Linked DNA regions of Nothobranchius furzeri. The protein of the gene in region 3 interacts with the protein of the main gene of each other region in a biochemical or structural test. Links are inferred from orthologs where the notes say so. Each region holds a gene or a part of one and is shown on either strand. Other genes may lie near its edges.

Region 1 (5,900 bases), on a different chromosome or scaffold from region 3:
GTTGCTCAGTGGTCCAAAGTACTTTTTTCGGATGAAAGCAAATTTTGCATGTCTTTCTGAAATCAAGGTGCCAGAGTCTGGAGGAAGACTGGGCAGAGGGAAATGCCAACATGCCTGAAGTCCAGTGTCAAGTACCCACAGTCAGTGATGGTCTGGGGTGCCATGTCAGCTGCTGGTGTTGGTCCACTGTGTTTTATCAAGGGCAGGGTCAATGCAGCAGCTATCAGGAGATTTTGGAGCACTTCATGCTTCCATCTGCTGAAAAGCTTTATGGAGATGAAGATTTCATTTTTCAGCATGACCTGGCACCTGCTCACAGTGCCAAAACCACTGGTAAATGGTTTACTGACCATGGTATTACTGGGCTCAATTGGCCTGCCAACTCTCCTGACCTGAACCCCGTAGAGACTCTGTGGGATATTGTGAAGAGAAAGTTGAGAGACGCAAGACCCAACACTCTGGATGAGCTTAAGGCTGCTATCGAAGCATCCTGGGCCTCCATAACACCTCAGCAGTACCACAGGCTGATTGCCTCCATGCCACGCCGCACTGAAGCAGTCATTTCTGCAAAAGGACTCCCGACCAAGTATTGAGTGCATAACTGAACATAATTATTTGAAGGTTGACTTTTTTGTATTAAAAACACTTTTCTTTTATTGGTCGGATGAAATATGCTATTTTTAGAGGAATTTTGGGTTTTCATGAGCTGTATGCCAAAATCATCAATATTAGAAACAATAAAAGGCTTGAACTACTTCAGTTGTGTGTAATGAATCTAAACTATATGAAAGTCTAATGTTTATCAGTGCATTGCAGACAATAATGAACTTTATCACAATATGCTAATTTTTTGAGAAGTACCTGCATAAGTTCAATGTATTACTATTATTATTATTGTTATTATTATTATTATTAAAAAACTCACCCCCACATCACTCCCACACCAACCATCACATCCTGCAGGGCAAAGTCAATGACCCTGTTTCATTGCTATGTTTATTTATTTGGCAGACACTTTTATCCTTAGCAACGTACAATTTATAACCTATAGGGGATGTTGTGATCTGTGAGGGGAACCGGAGTGCCCGGAGGAAACCCACGCGTGTGTGGAGAGAACAGGCAACTCCACGCAGAAAGACCGCAGCCAGGTTTCAAACCTGTAACCTTCTTGCTGCGACAGTGCTAACCATTACGCCACTATGCAGCCCATGTGATGAACAGGTCAAAGGAGCCCACAGATTGATCTGACGTGGAGGCAGAGGCTGTCTCAAGTGTAACAAAATTTTTCTATACTGGTTAAGGCAAAGGATAGTTTTCTCAGCAATACGTAGGGCAGTCAGGACCACATGAATCGAATTAAGGGGATGTCATTCAAGTTTCCCAGCAAGAAAAGTAAAGGGGAAGTTATACTTTGACCAGTCTTCACATACTTGGCACCAGAATCCCTGAGCCAGTGGACAAGACCACGTGCATGAACATAATTGTCAGGAGTGTTGTCTGTGTATTGCTTACAGGTGTCAGACAGTGCAAACCTTATCCTGAACATCCACTGACTTGTATATTGTACTCTGTGGAGAATTTTGCACTGGACTGATTGTAATTTAGGCTTCCTGGTCATACTAATATAATATAATATAATTTCTAATACTACCAATATCGTTACTATGATCATCCAGAGGACTCAAGACTAGCATGTCTCCTCAACACATTGATATATTGAGACAAAGACCTGAACAGAGTTAGTTGAGAGGCAGACTCACCTGTGCTCGTGCTGGAACATAGAACAGACATGTGATCACAGCCGGACAAGAGAACTGCTTTTGGGGTTGACTTAGTGGACACATGTCCTTCAGACTGTAGATGAACATCTCTTGTTCCTTTTACAAAGTTACAAAGAGCAGTTCTTATACAAACTAATTTATTAACTCAAAGACAGCATTAGTTTTCTGTATTTTAGTGTGGGCAGGTGGCATACCTCAGTGGACATCCACAGGGTGTTTTGGATCTTCATTTGGCAACTGATCCTGCTGCCTGGACAGGACATCCTCTTCACCTCCATTTGGCCGTTCTCCACATTCACAACACTGTAGGTCCTAAACAACCCACAGAACATCATCAGGAAAAAAATAATCAACCAATTAGTAAACTAGTTATTCATTCTTTTATTCTAAATGCAGGTAATGTCTGGAACCATTTTGAGCAGGATGTTTCACAGGGTAGCTATATGAAGGGATTTCAAAAATACATTTAATACCTTTTAATACGTTTTAAGACCTTCTAAAATAAAATTAAGATAATTCAATTCAGTTTATTTATATAGTGCTAAATCACAACAAGAGTCGTCTCAAGGACCTTCCCACAGTAAACATTCCAATACAGGTCAGTTCATTAAGCCAATCAGTAAAAAGTTTCCTATATAAGGAACCCAGCAGGTTGCATCAAGTCACTGACTAGAGTCAGAGTCTTTACAGCAATCCTCATACTAAGGCCCTGTCCACACGTAGCCGGGGATCTGCCAAAACGTAGGTATTTTTCTACGTTTTGGCCTGTCATTCACATGAAAACTGAGTTTTTTTCACACGAAAACGGATCTTTTTAAAAACTCCGGCCAAAGTGAAGATCTGCGTTTTCTCCGTTTTGGGTGTCTGCGTGTGGACGGACAAAACCAGAGTTTTAAGGTCCGCAACGTCACTTTCCGCGACAAAAAAATGCTGACATCACGTGTGCGACCTGTGTTTACACTAGCCGACAGCATGGATGCCCTCAGAGCTGCGCTCGCTTTATCAATTGTCCAAGCGCTTTTTGCTTGTTTGTTTTTGCAAGCGGAATTACTGCTCCTTGCGGAAGACCACAGACGAAGGACGAGGTTAAGAACGGGGGAAGTACTGCCGCCTACAGGTCTGGCATGTCCTTAACAACGTATTTATCCGGGTACGTGTGGACAGTTTTTTTTTTAAACGAGGTGGTGTGGATGCAAGTTTTTGGAGGGGCGGATATTCGTTTTTAAAAAAAAACCCGGCTACGTGTGGACTAGGCCTAAGCAAGCATGCAGCAATAGTGGAGAGGAAAACTCCCTTTTAACAAGAAGAAACCTCCAGAGGATCCTGGCTCAGTATAAGCAGCCATCCATCAAGTAGATGGGAGCAATTCCATACAGAAATTTAAATTCAGTGACTTGAATTTGATGCAGGCAGCAAACGGTAAGTTGATGGAGCTCAATGATCAGAAGGGTGACTAGTGCTCTTTCAGGCTCACCGAAGACCAGAGTTACCAAAGTGTTCAGGACAATCTGCAGATGCTTCACTGTCCAAGCTGGGAGATCAGTTAGAGGGGTATTACAGTAGTCATGGTTAGAGATGGCCATGTTGCGGTAGGTATGGTCCATCTTTCGTGTGTTAAACAATCCAAAATGACATGATCAAGTCATAGACGCAACTTGATCTTCAAAGGTCACCTGGTTATCAATCATGACCCCCAAATTTCTAGCCAACTTTGAGATTCAATTCAATAATTTTATTTCACTCAAAATTTTAATATACAAACTTCAAATCAGAATACAATTGCCAACCAGAATATAAGCATTCGAGTGAAATAGGGGGAGGAAGAAGAAAAAAATTGTATATGACCTACCCCCTTTAACGAAGACAAGATAAATTACAAAAAGTACAAAATGGCCTTATACACAAAAAATAAACCGCTCTCTTTCTTCCACAAATAATATCAATACTAAAACATTAATCCCCCATCCTTAACTCGCCAAATCATACGATTTTAGCATTTTATCTTTATACATTTTTTTTAATTGACCAGTATTTGTACATTTTTTTAATTCATCATCCAGGTTATTCCATAATTTCACACCAAATATTGAAATACACATTTGCTTTAATGTAGTATGAACAAATATCCTTTTAAACACTGGTTTCTTTCTACTCTTATCATTTTTTGGGATCAAAACAAAGAACCTTTGTAGATTAGTTGGCAGTAAATTATTTCTAGCCTTAAACATAATTAGTACAAATTTCAAGTTAACTAAGTCTTTGAATTTCATAATTTTAGATCATATATTAATATAAAAAATAAAATATTTGTTAGTATGTTCTCTCGGATTTGCGTTATATAGAATTCGCAAAACTATATATAGATATAGAAACAGAAGTAATCAACGTATGTGATATTATCGGGCTGTTTGGTTGGTTTGGCTGGAAAGAGAAGCAGTCCAGTTTCAGAAAGGCTGTGGAGGTGGTGGGTAAATACATGGAGCAGTATAAGTATGGACTTGGCTGTCACTCTGGCTTCTTTTAAGGCTTTTGTCACAGCCAACAGAGATATTTTAAGCCTGATTTATACTTCACCGCGTTGGAGACGCACACGGAGTGTCGGAAAGGTTTTATATGCAAACAGGCAGTGGAGCGTTGCAAAACAATTCCCCGCCAGGACAACAGAGGGCGTAGCACTTTTCTGTGATATCCTGCCACCATAACACTCATGTATCCGGTTCACAATAGTGTATTCACTAATGTGTTTATTTATTTCAGAGACTCCTCCACCTCTTCATGCAGTCGCCACCTCTAAACCCACGTTTCCCATCATTTCCGTCCGCATTTGCTCCGTATTATGTACTCCTTCACTCACGGGTGAATAAACATTTATACAGTATTTTCAAAGTTTTTCGGTAATGTGTTCTTCAATCTGTTCTGGGTCTGCCGCTAAATATCTTCTTACTTTTTAATGGGGCAATGGCGGTGCTGGTGACGAACATACAGGAAGCAGCGTCCTGACCAATCACAAGCTTGCGGCCTCCGTCACTTTCGACGGGTGTTTAAAAAATTTTGGGCATGTCTCCATCACCCTCTGTGAGCCTGTCGGAGAGCTCTTGCACCAACGCATAATGGCGTTACGCATCTAAGACTATAAAGTATAAATGAGGCTTTTGTGGAATGGCATTTTTGAGATTATTTTGGGTCAAAGAGGTTTGTTTATGAGAGTCCTTCAGATAGCAACGGTAGGAGTGAGACAAGTTCACAGTTCTCTATGAGTTGGAGGGAGGGCAGCTTTCTTGTGCAGTGGTAAAACACGGGAATACTTAAGTGAGGTAGGAAATGTACCAAATGTTAATACAGCATAAATCACATGACTGGCTGCTACAGTTACCATAGAAAACTGTTCCAAATGGCAGTGGGACAGCTATATGTGAAACATTTTATTTATTTATTGTTTTACTGTGTCCTGTCCAGCTGTGAAGCGATCAGAATTAATGTCTGAATGCTGAAGACAAGCCTTACAGTTTTCTCTCACAGGTGGAGCGTTATCATCATCATCATCAACCTTTACTTATAAAACACATTAAACAATCTTTTAGTCTTTATGAAATGTATATTTATTCAGAGGTCCCTACTTTATTTTGACTAATTAATTAGCAAAACTGAAACATTAATATATAAGTATATATATTATATTTTTTTCTCCCTTCGAATCTGGGAGGGCGGAACCCCAGCTCCAGCTATGGACGAGCCCCCAGGGGGCCCAACTTGATATTTTTTCATGGGGCCCAAAATCTCTGGCAGCCCCCCTGACAACACCAACCAAAGTGCTGTACAAGACACTACATCACCAAAATAGACAAAACAAATAAAAACTATTAAAAAAATAATAATAAAAAAAATTCTGCTATAACGCCACGCCTGATACCAAAACTTTATTTGAAATATTTTTGGTGGTTTTAAATCGCAATGGACATGGAGACAAAAGTGTAAGAGAAAGGCAGAGAGAGAAGGAAGAGGTGGCAGAGGTTCACAAAAAAAAACCTAATACTAATAAATGATGAACAAGAATCTGCTTCTAGACCTGCAGAAAGAGAAAGACAATAAAACAAGACCGAAATATCACTGCGCCCACAA
Region 2 (4,595 bases), on a different chromosome or scaffold from region 3:
AACAATAAATAATCGTCTGGGCAAAACTTTAAGGTAAACATGAGATGCTGTAGTTGTTTCTCTGCAGGCTTAGATTATGAAGATCAGACGGTATGATGTGTTTGAATAATCTTAATTTGATCAAAAATAAACAGAATAAACTACATGTAAACTATGTGCACATGCATGTTCAAGTTCCTCCAATGCTTGTAATGTCATGGTTCTAATACTGGCAGGATAAAGATGTGGTTCATTACATGGTGATGTAGGCAAAGAAACCGTGAAAAATATCTAATACATTTTTGTTAACCAGATGAACTCTATAAGCATATAGAAATTAATTTATTTATAGGTCTTTTATACCCTCTAGTGGAGAAAACAACAGGAAATCAGTCCATAAGACCTTATCCAGGTGGAACGACACACCGTAAAAAGGTACTTTTTATACATTTGCTTTAAATAAAGAAATAAAAGTGATGATTAATGATAAAGTCCTACAATGTAAAGCTTAAACAATGTTTCTGAAATTAATTTTCACTCATTTTCTGATTAAATAAAGGCATCTCTCATGGTAAAATGGGAATGTCTAAACAGAAAGCGAAGAAAGTATCTTTACAAATAAATATGCAGTCTTTTGGTGTACAGGAGTATTAGCTCTGAAAAAGAGGATATAGCTCACACACGTTGCTTACGTTGTGTTTTAGTCTGGATGTCAGCAGCAGCAAAATACTTTAGCATTTCAAATTAACACTTTAATAAAGAAAAGGGAGTCACTGAGCAGCTACAGTGCATTTGACCAGAGTCAATGCAGGAAGGACAGATCACACACACACACACACACACACACACACACACACACACACACACACACACACACACACACACACACACACACACACACACACACACACCAGTCTTTCTTGTTTTACTGCGTGTTATTTTGATCTAGTCCACATTCTGTACAATGATCAAAGACAAGTCCAGCTTGCTTCAGCACTTCTTGTTTGAATCAAAAGTCCGACCCGGTTCTTTACAGGTCTCCTCCTCTGGTCTCACACGGATGATCCTTGCAAATAATTACATCATTGACTGAACTTTCACTGTAGGTTTGCTGAGATTTCTATGAATTTGAGCTTTGGTGTCTTCCTTACCTGAGTGTCCAGGTTTGCTGTTTAGAAAGTACACAGTCGGAGGTTGGAGCGAGATGTTTGTGATGAAGCTACATGTGTATTGAGATATACGATATAAATGTGAATGAAGTCCTTCACTTTTTAAGTCCTTAGCCCCTTTTACTCCACTCTCCTCTCCTCCTCCTTGCATTTCATCGGGATGAAGTGAGATGCCACATTCTCCCTCCTGGTCCGGTTCCCCCGCTGTGGCATTCCCTTCTGAGACAGCGTTATGTACATTTCATTTGTTTTGTTCCACTTCACAGAGGCGTATGCATTGAAGTAGTTTTCTAGGAAAAATTCCTTGAAGTTGCAATTTTCACTGTAGATCCTCTGTAATGAAAAACAAATGGTCAGTTCTTGGTCCTGATGATACTAAGAGATGTAGTAGGGCTACCTGACTGCATCGCCGCTGAACTCAGCCTTACCTTTCCTTTCAGCTTCCCGTTCTTGCTCATAGAGATGTAGTACTGGCTCTTGACACCTTTGATGGCCAGGATTCCTCCCTCGGACACAGTTCTGATCTCGAGGATGCCTGCCAGACGGTTCAGAAAATGAGACATGTTGCAGAACAGATAAGAAACTGTCACCCTCCATCCTGACCTCAACATTCATCTTCATTAACAAAGAAAAGGGAAGTTGCTGTGATGAATCAGTCAGTGGTCTCTCTGGCTCGGTTCAAGTCTTGTTAACTTGCCTGGGTGGCCGTTACGCAAACCATAACCTATGCCACTGGCACATATGGGAGACAGATTAGGCCTCCCTCCCATGGGACTGAGGAAACTACCTCCTTGCACGTGCTTTGCATGCCACAATTTAGATGTGCTCGTCAGATTTGTGAGAAGGTAAAAATGGCCAAGCTAGCTTTTTGGGGGGAATTATTTTTAAATTCTACTCAATATTTTTACACATAAATTATTAGAATACGTAGCATAGATTTTTTGCACTTGCGGTTTTTAAGTGTAATGTTTCAAAGCTGTAATTCATTTAAAGTTCAGTAAAAAGGGACCTTTTACATAGAAGGTATTTGCAATTTAGCACATCAGTATACTCACCTGGCTACTTTCTATGTAAATCCTTTCATCTATTATAATTGTAGGTTTTTATCTGTGTGTATGGTTTGTTCAGCACTTTGTTTGACCGCAGGCTGTGTGAGAGTGTTTAATAAATAAAGGTTGTGGCTGAAAATAAAGTAAAGAAATATAAAGTTTTGCTTTGTCTTTTTTGGTAGCATTGAGATGTTAGATTATAAATATTTAACGCTGAGACTCAAATTTCATTCTTAGATAAACATTATTTTATATCAAGAACAAAAATGAGATCCAGATGCCGGATGGGATTTTTTCTCTGTTCTTGATATAAAGCTTTGAATGCTTTTCTGTTTGAAAAATTCTTTCATTTGACAGGCAAAGGGAGAAAAAAAGAGCAATAGCTATTAAAACCTGTCAGAATGACAGTGAGCATGCACACACATCAGCGTTTGCCAGATTACAAACAGATGGTCATGTCCCAATCTGGGAATTTAGTGTGTGCTTTTCTTACACTTCATGTTGGACCAGATATTCTCCTCATCCTGCTTCTGTGATCTGCTGATTAAGTTTTGTTCATCAGGATTAAAGGTAAAATTCATTTAATTCCCTGATGCATTCAAAACCAGTCAACCATTTGTGTCCTTTATGTTTGGGGAAGCCAGAGATGTATGGATGAGCTTTCTTGTAGTAAAACTAATATTAGTTATTTTGTTCTCTGTGAAAACTCAAAACACAGGCCCAAACATACATTAAAAAACCTTTTCCCAGATTAAACAGATTTCCATCATTTGTCAGATAAATATTTATTCTAATTTCTCTGGAAAGTCTCACATTTACTGTTCTGAATTAAAGGCTTTGCCTTTTAGTTAGACACGAATAGTGTCTGAAAACATTGACTGATAAAAAGGTTTACACACTTTTTATTTCTAAAGATGTTTTAGAAAAGCTAGAAGTGTACACGTTTGAACTAACAGATCCTGATCTGCACCAAAATGTTATGTTTTCCTCCAACTCTTACACGGTTTGTAAAATATATCTCATCTTTAAAAAAAATCTTTTCTTTAAAACCTTTTTCTTATTAATGGACAGGCCTATATGGAAATGGCTGTGCGCTGCCTTCATGCTGCTTTGTATTCATTTTAATACCCTAAAAGTAAATTGTTAAAATTTTAAGACTATAATTTGTGTTTTACATAATAATTTAGCAATCTTAATTTAAATTAAACTGTTTTGTTTACTATAAAAGTTAATATCTATATTGTTACATTAACTTGTTTGCTTTAGAGGTCTATTTTTACATAAATGTAGATTGTAGTGTTATTAGTGATTATGTGGGCCCTTGTTTATAAGCCTATATAAGTATATAAACTTTGGCTTCTGGGAAGTCTTTCTTACTGAACTGTGCCTTCTGTGAATGTGTATTCCAGTGGGTCATGTGAAGAAATAATAAACAAATAAATAAATAAATAAATAAATAAATAAATGAATAAATGAATGAATAAAGTATATTCCTTAGTTTGGTCAAACAACATTGGTTCAAAAAATATATTTAATTTTTATAATATGACTCCCAAAATGACCAGCATTTTTTTTATTTTGAAAGGGAGAAAACTTTGAAAAAGAAAAGAAGTGAATAATTAAAAACATTTTCCAGATGTTTTGAGTTTTGATCCAAGAACAAATGTGTTGGAAAGGACCTCAGCTTTTTGTCACAGGAGCACAAGATTTTTCTTTTTTTCTTCCTTTAAAAGCTTATCTGTAATCAACTCATACTATTTGTCCACTGGAGTCAAAAATATGACATTCATTGTATAAACAACCACTTGGAGCTGACGTCGTCACCGGACCGTTGGTCGGACTCACTCTGCTAGTAGCGTGCACCTGTCAGCCACGTATGGGCGTATCAAATTTTCTGTCTGTCAGTGCCAGTTGTTGCAAAAGCATCTTTTTCTTCTTTAAAGCCAACATTCCTCCCTGCCACACTGCCAGATAGGAGGAAACGATAACTACACACAGCATCCTCACCCTGACCAAGGGTCTCGCTTCAATCTGTAAACATGAACTTGCAAAAGCAAAGCTGATTCCAGCCCTCTAATTTAAACATCAACTTGTGGGTTATTGCAGTTGCTTCGACAAGCAAATGACATTGCTAATTATGAATTTGTGCATTAATTTCCATGTCAGAATTGTTATGACAGGTTTTTTTATTTTATCGGTTTAAAAGTTTGAGGTCACAAGGGTTTGGCACCACCAAAAGCCTTCAACTTCCACCATTAACATCCCATATTTGGTGCCTGCGCTGGTTCATCTTCCCCCTGTCTCTTCTCTACCACACTTACACATAAACTCATTAAAATATTCATTACATGACATCACAGATGTGACTCATCATGTCCAATCATGCCACAGTTCAAGT
Region 3 (6,691 bases):
TCCAGTTACCATTAAACTTGCACTTCCCCATGGCGCAAGCTCCCACTAGCTTAACCAGCTAATGTGCTCATCTAAAAGTAGCCCCCTTTCACAACCAACTGAATGTGTACGGTTCCGCTTACGCCAACATCGTACACAAAAAATGCTGAACACTAACTAGAAATTCACGAAAATTTTATAGAAATAAAAGAATCTTGTTTATTGGGTCTTTGGTAATTTAAGACATTTGGAAACTGGATTTAAGGGTTATTTGTCATTTTTAAGGATTTTTAAGGCCTTAAATTTGGAAAAGCTAATTTAAGACTTTTTAAGGACCCGTGGATACCCTCATGGACGTAATTTTCACTTTAGAAGTGGGGGGGGGACACGGGGGGCGGGGGGGGCGTATCTTTACAGTATGTTCTAATGGGAAACCGGCTTCAACACAAACGGTTGTTTTCTGCTTGGTCCTAGAGCTCAACCAGTGTCAATTTAATATAGCGTAATATTGTTTTTGGATGGTAAAAAGTGCAGGGGTCAAAACTTGACTTTGGAAAAAGTGGGGGGACATGTCCCCCCTGTCCCCCCCCAAAATTACATCCATGGATACCCTGCATACATAGAGTTCAGTTCCATTATCAAACTACAGATGCACACTTTGTGTCATTAACTGGCCTCCTGACACGTTTGCAGCCGGAGTCCTGCAGCGCAGAAAGCCACGACCACAGACACACAACCACTCAGGGTCCGGTTTCTGCCAGCAGAGCATCAGAAGCTGGATTGTTGACATCTGTCCCTTTCCTGTGTCTCTCTAAGATTCGTCGTCCATCCATAATGGAGTCTGTATTTATTTAACCGCTGAAGCATTTTGAAGAACTGCCTCCATGCTGATCAGAGCATTTTTTTGTAGAAGAACAGAGTTTGGCAGAAAACTCGAGGCGCAAAGCCAAGCCATGAGCTGACTTTTGTCAGCTGCTCTCGCTCCAGTGTGCACATTTCCTCCACACTACGAGCAAAAACAAAACTCGGAGTCCCTGAACGTGCCACGGGACGGAAAATGCCCAAAACGCTCACACCTTTGGAGAGCTGGTGCCATTGTTATTCAGCTGTGTCTGTGTGTTTTAATCGCTGTGCAAACAGAGAGCGCCTGAACAAGGTAAACACTCCCGTAGATGCCGGAGCGGCAACAATGGGACTGTTGTGGAGGCTTGAACCAGCGCTCGCTCCACGTCTTCTGTTACAGCAGCAGCAGGTAAACAAACCAGCCAGGGCCACCAGGGGGGCAGGCGTGGGCCCTAAAGAGGCCACACTGATATGCAGCCTGGTGTTTCTGCAGGGTTTCAGCTCCCACAGGCCCAGGTGGGGGGGGGGGGGTCTGAACATCTCCATCAGCGCCGCACAAGTCAGAACATCTGACCTCTCTCTGATTTATGGAGGTTCTTCATCATGTGATGACCCCCTCCTTACCCACCCTGTAGTCACATGACTTCACCGTTGAGCAGTTCTCTGTAATCTCTCCACCTACAGAAGTCAAACGTGCCAAGATCCTCTTAGAGCGTTCCTGGAGGGATTGTGTAACTCTGAAAAAGTCCTCGTCTTCTTTATCCGTGTGTGGAACGCCAGGCTCAGCGGCTGGGAGCCAAACCGTCTGAGTCGGAAAAACAGGACAAGAGAGGAGCGCCGAGGCCCAGGCAGCCTCTCATCACGGCGGGCCGGGGTAGTTCGTGACCCCAGGGGCAAAGGACGACTGCAGGGTACAGTGTGTGTGTGGTGTGTGTGTGTGTGTGTGTGTGTGTGTGTGTGTGTGTGTGTGTGTGTGTGTGTGTGTGTGTGTGTGTGTGTGTGTGTGTGTGTGTGTGTGTGTGTGTGTGTGTGTGTGTGTGTGTGATGCTCTCAGGCTAACTTTAAATTACCCTCCTGATTAAAGAACAAAGAGCAGAGGAATGTGGTTCAGCATCGTCACAACAGCTATGAACTCGTCCGAAAAGCAGAAGCATGAAGAAAATTTGAGGTTTTCTGGGAAAAAAGCTAAAAAATACTTAAAGATTTTTTTCTTCCTAACAAAAGAAAAGCAATAAAAGATTTTTAATCGGATTTTGGTTTTCTCTTCATTTTCTGCTCTGCAGGCGAGGAGGGGCAACGTGACGCCAGGACACACACACACACACACACACACACACACACACACACACACCAGTGAAGGAAAACGAAACGGTGTGAATCGCTTCTCTGTGAGGAAAATCACACCTCGCTACATTCAGGTCAATTATTTTCCACTCACTTGTTTGTTTTACCCCCACCCTCGCTTCACTCCCCCCAATTTTGAGTGAGCTTGTTTTTTTTTTTGTTTTTTTTTTTTTGCTTAAATATTTTCCACCAATTTACTGGATTTTCTTGAAGTTTGAACATAAATAAATCAGTTTTCTGAAGCTAAATGAAGCTTTTATCACTAAAATGACATACAACCCCACCATGTGTCATTTCCACCCCATCTCCATCACGGCTCATCTGCTCCTCCTCATCCTCCTGCTGCTTACCTTCAGGCTCTAGGGTTGCCTCCTCCACTTTGGTGGCGGTGAGAGGCGGCCGGGCCACGCTGACAGTCAGAAGGGACAGCAGGACGGAGGCCAGCAACCAGACCCACAAGGCCATCCCGTTAGAGGGGGTGAGAGCTCCCCATGCCCCCCTTCTCCACCTCCCCCTGGACACTGATCCCATCTGAGGGGCTCGGCCCAACCATCAACTGCTGCTGGATTAGGCTGTCACTCACTGGAATTCACCCAGTCACCTGGACTGTGAAGGATTGGAGAGAAAAGTTAGACAAACAAATCGTGGTTTTCGTTTAATTTTTACAAAGTTTAACAATCCTGCCAAACAAGCCAGACCACAGACGTACCGACGCTCTGAAGCACCAGAGAAACACTCGTTATCACCTTCCCCACCTCAACAAGTCCTCTTAGGTGCATAAAAACAGGAAGATGTTCCAAACTGATGAGGGCGGAGGGCTTTAAATCAGCCTCAATGGCATCAAATTGCGCAGCGCAACAGATGCGTAAATCCTGCTCCAGACGCGCGCAACCTTATAATCATCATTTAATTAATTGCACTCCAGTGATTTGTTAATGAGACCAGTTTCACTCACTCACTCACTCACTCACTCACTCACTCACTCACACACACACACACACACACACACACACACACACACACACACACACACACACACACACACACACACACACACACGTCTGCCTGTTTAGCCAGACATCTGCGGTTCCGCGTCTCTTGAGGGTTTTTGCTGAAGTCACGCTTCCACGCTCCGTTCCAGCTGGACGTATCGATTAGGTTTACTCACAAACGAGACACGTAAGGAGAAATTTAGAGAACGTAGTTTAAAGAAGTGAACTTTAATCTGATTCCCTCTCCTTTTGAAGAGAAACCAGATCATCTGACTAACCTGTAACCTGAATAAATCCTTGACTTTTGCGCAAATAGGTGAAGAGCCCGTAATCAAACGAGTTAATAAAACTTGTGCAAAACAATTGAAACTGCTCGGATTTTGTGTTTTTAAGCCAAATCTAAATTATTCTGCAGCAAAAACTCGGCAAATAAATCACAAAACCACAGAAATGCGCTCTCCACTGCGGAACCTGTGCAACTTTTGCTCCAAACAAGCACCACTGTCTTCATTTAAACCCGACCCTTGAATGAAATTTCTTGGCTCTGCCTGAATTCCTATTGAAATTCAAATCAGCTGGCTGTTACCCGACAGTGGGGGCTCGTTTTGGAGTTTCTCTGTGATTTAGGGCTCCGGCACCGAGCGTTGGAAAAACAACGGCGGCCACAGGGTAATTGGCACCTTAAATGCAAAGTTAGAAAATGAAGCAAAGTAATAAATAACCAGGACTATGCGAATGGAATCCTAAAGTGATGATGCAAGGTGTTGTGGACCTCCTCCTCAGACTTATTAATTATATAAAAAATGATCGTTGTTTTTCTTTAGTTCTGCAGAAAAGGTGCAGAAAAGGACACAAAAGCGCGCATTTCAGAGAATCCAGCGAGTTTCATCACGTTACAGATTTTAAAGAAATGTAAATCAAATGAATGAACTTTTTTCCAGCTTTACGCACAATACTCCGGGTTGAGCAGACAGCGCTTACCAGTGCGGACTAAAATCGTGGAGGTCTGTGTTTAGGCATGCACGGATACGCGAGGAGAGTGCATGAGGTGAATCCAGGGAGAAGAATGTCTCCAACGCAATGCAGGAAAAATGTTTGGAGAGGCGCTGTCCTGTTTTTCCAGCTTCCAAAATAAGCAGACATCGACTCTGATCAGAAGTGTTTATATTCCAAAACCGAGCGGCACCGTGGTCCAAAGTCACGCGCAGAAATCCGAGTCCAGAGTTATCCTTCGAAAACAGCGCAGAAACCCAAGCCGCTGCTTCTCCCTTCAGAACCGCTCCTCTCCGTCACCAAGTTTCTCCCAGAGCGCAGAACATGTCCAGAGCTCCCGATTAGCGCACTTGTCAACTGGACATAAAGTTTTCTGGCGCTAAAGGACGTGGCAGGAGGCTGAAGGCTGTCCCAGGCGGAATGTCCTAAAATCCATCAGTGTGCGTCTCTGCGCTGCGCTGCGCCTCGCGCGTCCCAGTCTCCTCTACCTCCGACAGTCCGGACTGTTTTCTCCAACTCTTTGTCAGGTTTACTAGATTTTTTCCTCTCTCTCTCTCTCTCTCTCTCTCTCTCTCTCTCTCACACACACACACACACACACACACACACTCGCACACACACCGCCCTCCGCCTTCCATCTGAGGGTGTCACTCCCCCTTCCTCCCTACTCTCGAGCACCTCCTGAATGTAATTTGAGCCGCTCTCTGGCCGCAGTGCCTTTGGGCCCAGCCTTCCTCCGCCCATTACGCTGCGGACACACACACACACACCAGTAGCGGTTTTAGGCACGGGCAGACAGGGCAGTTGCCCGGGGCGGCATTTTTTCATGACACAAAAGGGGCGCACAAGCGCTGAGTAAAAAAAAAAAAAGGAAATCTGCGCCTCACCGAGGTTTTCTATTATCTGTCATATGACAGTGTCTGGATTGGAAACAGCAAGTTGGCGCCCCCTGCAGCTGCAGGCGCTCCGTGCACCGTGTGTGTGTATGAAGAAGAGGAAGGGGAGGGGTGCGGCGGGGGAATTCACCTCTGGTGGGTCCAAATGAATTGAGAGGGTAGGGGCTGAATCAACTGTATCAACATGGCTAAAGTCGATCACATCTTGATGTTCTTCCACATTTCATTCATAATATCATAAACACAGGCCTATCATTCTTTCAGGTGTTTCTGAATTGTGTGAAATGGCCGAATAAAAAAAGGAAAAACAAAACGATTTTGTGGTCACCCCCCCATCAAGGTCAAATTGTTTAGTCCTGACTAAAGGAAACTTATTGAGTCAAGAGCCAAACAGAAGAGATGAATATAAAAAGGCTAAAACCAACAGGTGCCCGATTCAGGAATAAAAAAGAAAAAAAGAGGATAAAGATAAAGGTATGTTCGCTCTCATGATGAATGTTTTCAATTTTTTGAACCAGTTAACTGGGATTTTAACGGTTAAATTCTGTCAACTAGTTGCTAACAGAGCTAATAGGGCTGAAATATTGAAACGAATATTCAAATGGTTCGAATAAATTCCTTGAATCGTTTTTTACTGATTCAAACTAGGATTTGTTAAATGCTCGCTGTAGCCTGTGGCCTGCATGAACAACAACAAACACATGTTGATCAAGTTCACATAATAATAAATAAATCAACTCTACAAGCAGAAGAAAACACCCCAGTCACCACTAACTATCCTGTTTATTTATTGCAGATGGCTGCACTGATTATTTTTTACCTGGTTTGTTCTGTAAAAGTTGGCATTTTTGGTAGTCTACAGTTTTTTTTTATGTCAGTTTAAATTACAATTTCAGAGGCAATTGTAAAATATTATGGATCATGATAAAGATCTATTGGAGATCTACCCCAACTTTTGGACTGCTCTGCCAGTCACTGTGGCTCAAGCTGAGAGGAGCTTTTCAAAACTTGATCGTCATACCTGAGGTCACCTATATTTCAGGGGCGGCTCACTAACCTGGCTCTGATTAGTATCAATCACTCAGTAGGGGAGCAGATTTCATATGATGACATTATTGATGACTTTGCATCAAGGTTAGGTTTTAATTTTAGTTTGTGTTTTCTGTTGTAAGTGCAATGCTGTAGTGATTATCTTTAGTTTGTTATGTGTGAAATATTTTTGCTATTTAGAATATTTATTATATATTATGTGCATATATTCTTAATATTTAGTTAGTTTAGTTGTTTTTGTATATTTGATTCTATATATTTTGATACAGTACATAATGTATATTGCTTTACATTCTGACAACTTCATAGTAATTAATGTAAATATGTGCAACTTAGAAAAATGAATGTTCAGTAGTCGTTCTAATAAAACATGCCTGTTTGTAGAAAACGTGTGTGTTCGTGCAGGTGGGGTGGTGTGGTGGTGGTGGTGGTGGGGGCGGTTGGGGGGGCGCTCAAAGGGGGCCTCGCCCAGGGAGTAATTCCATGTCGAACCGCCACTGACACACACACACACACACACACACACACACACACACACACACACACACACACACACACACACACACACACACACACACACACACACACACACAC

The links. The genes of interacting proteins can lie anywhere in the genome.
Region 1: the proteins of fgfr2 (region 3) and lrrk1 form a complex in vitro, tested with the Homo sapiens proteins (2 studies listed by BioGRID and IntAct, with this or other methods). The link is inferred for Nothobranchius furzeri from reciprocal best matches to the Homo sapiens genes FGFR2 and LRRK1.
Region 2: the proteins of fgfr2 (region 3) and fgf7 form a complex in vitro, tested with the Homo sapiens proteins (3 studies listed by BioGRID). The link is inferred for Nothobranchius furzeri from reciprocal best matches to the Homo sapiens genes FGFR2 and FGF7.

What each region holds. Positions count from the first base shown.
Region 1 is NC_091749.1:7,379,722-7,385,621, reverse strand, and holds part of lrrk1 (leucine-rich repeat serine/threonine-protein kinase 1), read right to left. Parts: intron 2,094-5,900; coding exon 1,976-2,093; intron 1,878-1,975; coding exon 1,761-1,877; intron 1-1,760.
Region 2 is NC_091749.1:43,170,039-43,174,633, reverse strand, and holds part of fgf7 (fibroblast growth factor 7), read right to left. Parts: intron 1,684-4,595; coding exon 1,577-1,683; intron 1,482-1,576; coding exon 1,269-1,481; 3' UTR 1-1,268. UniProt on the Homo sapiens protein: Plays an important role in the regulation of embryonic development, cell proliferation and cell differentiation. Required for normal branching morphogenesis. Growth factor active on keratinocytes.
Region 3 is NC_091752.1:4,207,049-4,213,739, reverse strand, and holds the start of fgfr2 (fibroblast growth factor receptor 2), read right to left. Parts: upstream 4,376-6,691; 5' UTR 4,140-4,375; intron 2,897-4,139; exon of another isoform or gene 2,876-2,896; intron 2,773-2,875; 5' UTR 2,698-2,772; coding exon 2,517-2,697; intron 1-2,516. UniProt on the Homo sapiens protein: Tyrosine-protein kinase that acts as a cell-surface receptor for fibroblast growth factors and plays an essential role in the regulation of cell proliferation, differentiation, migration and apoptosis, and in the regulation of embryonic development.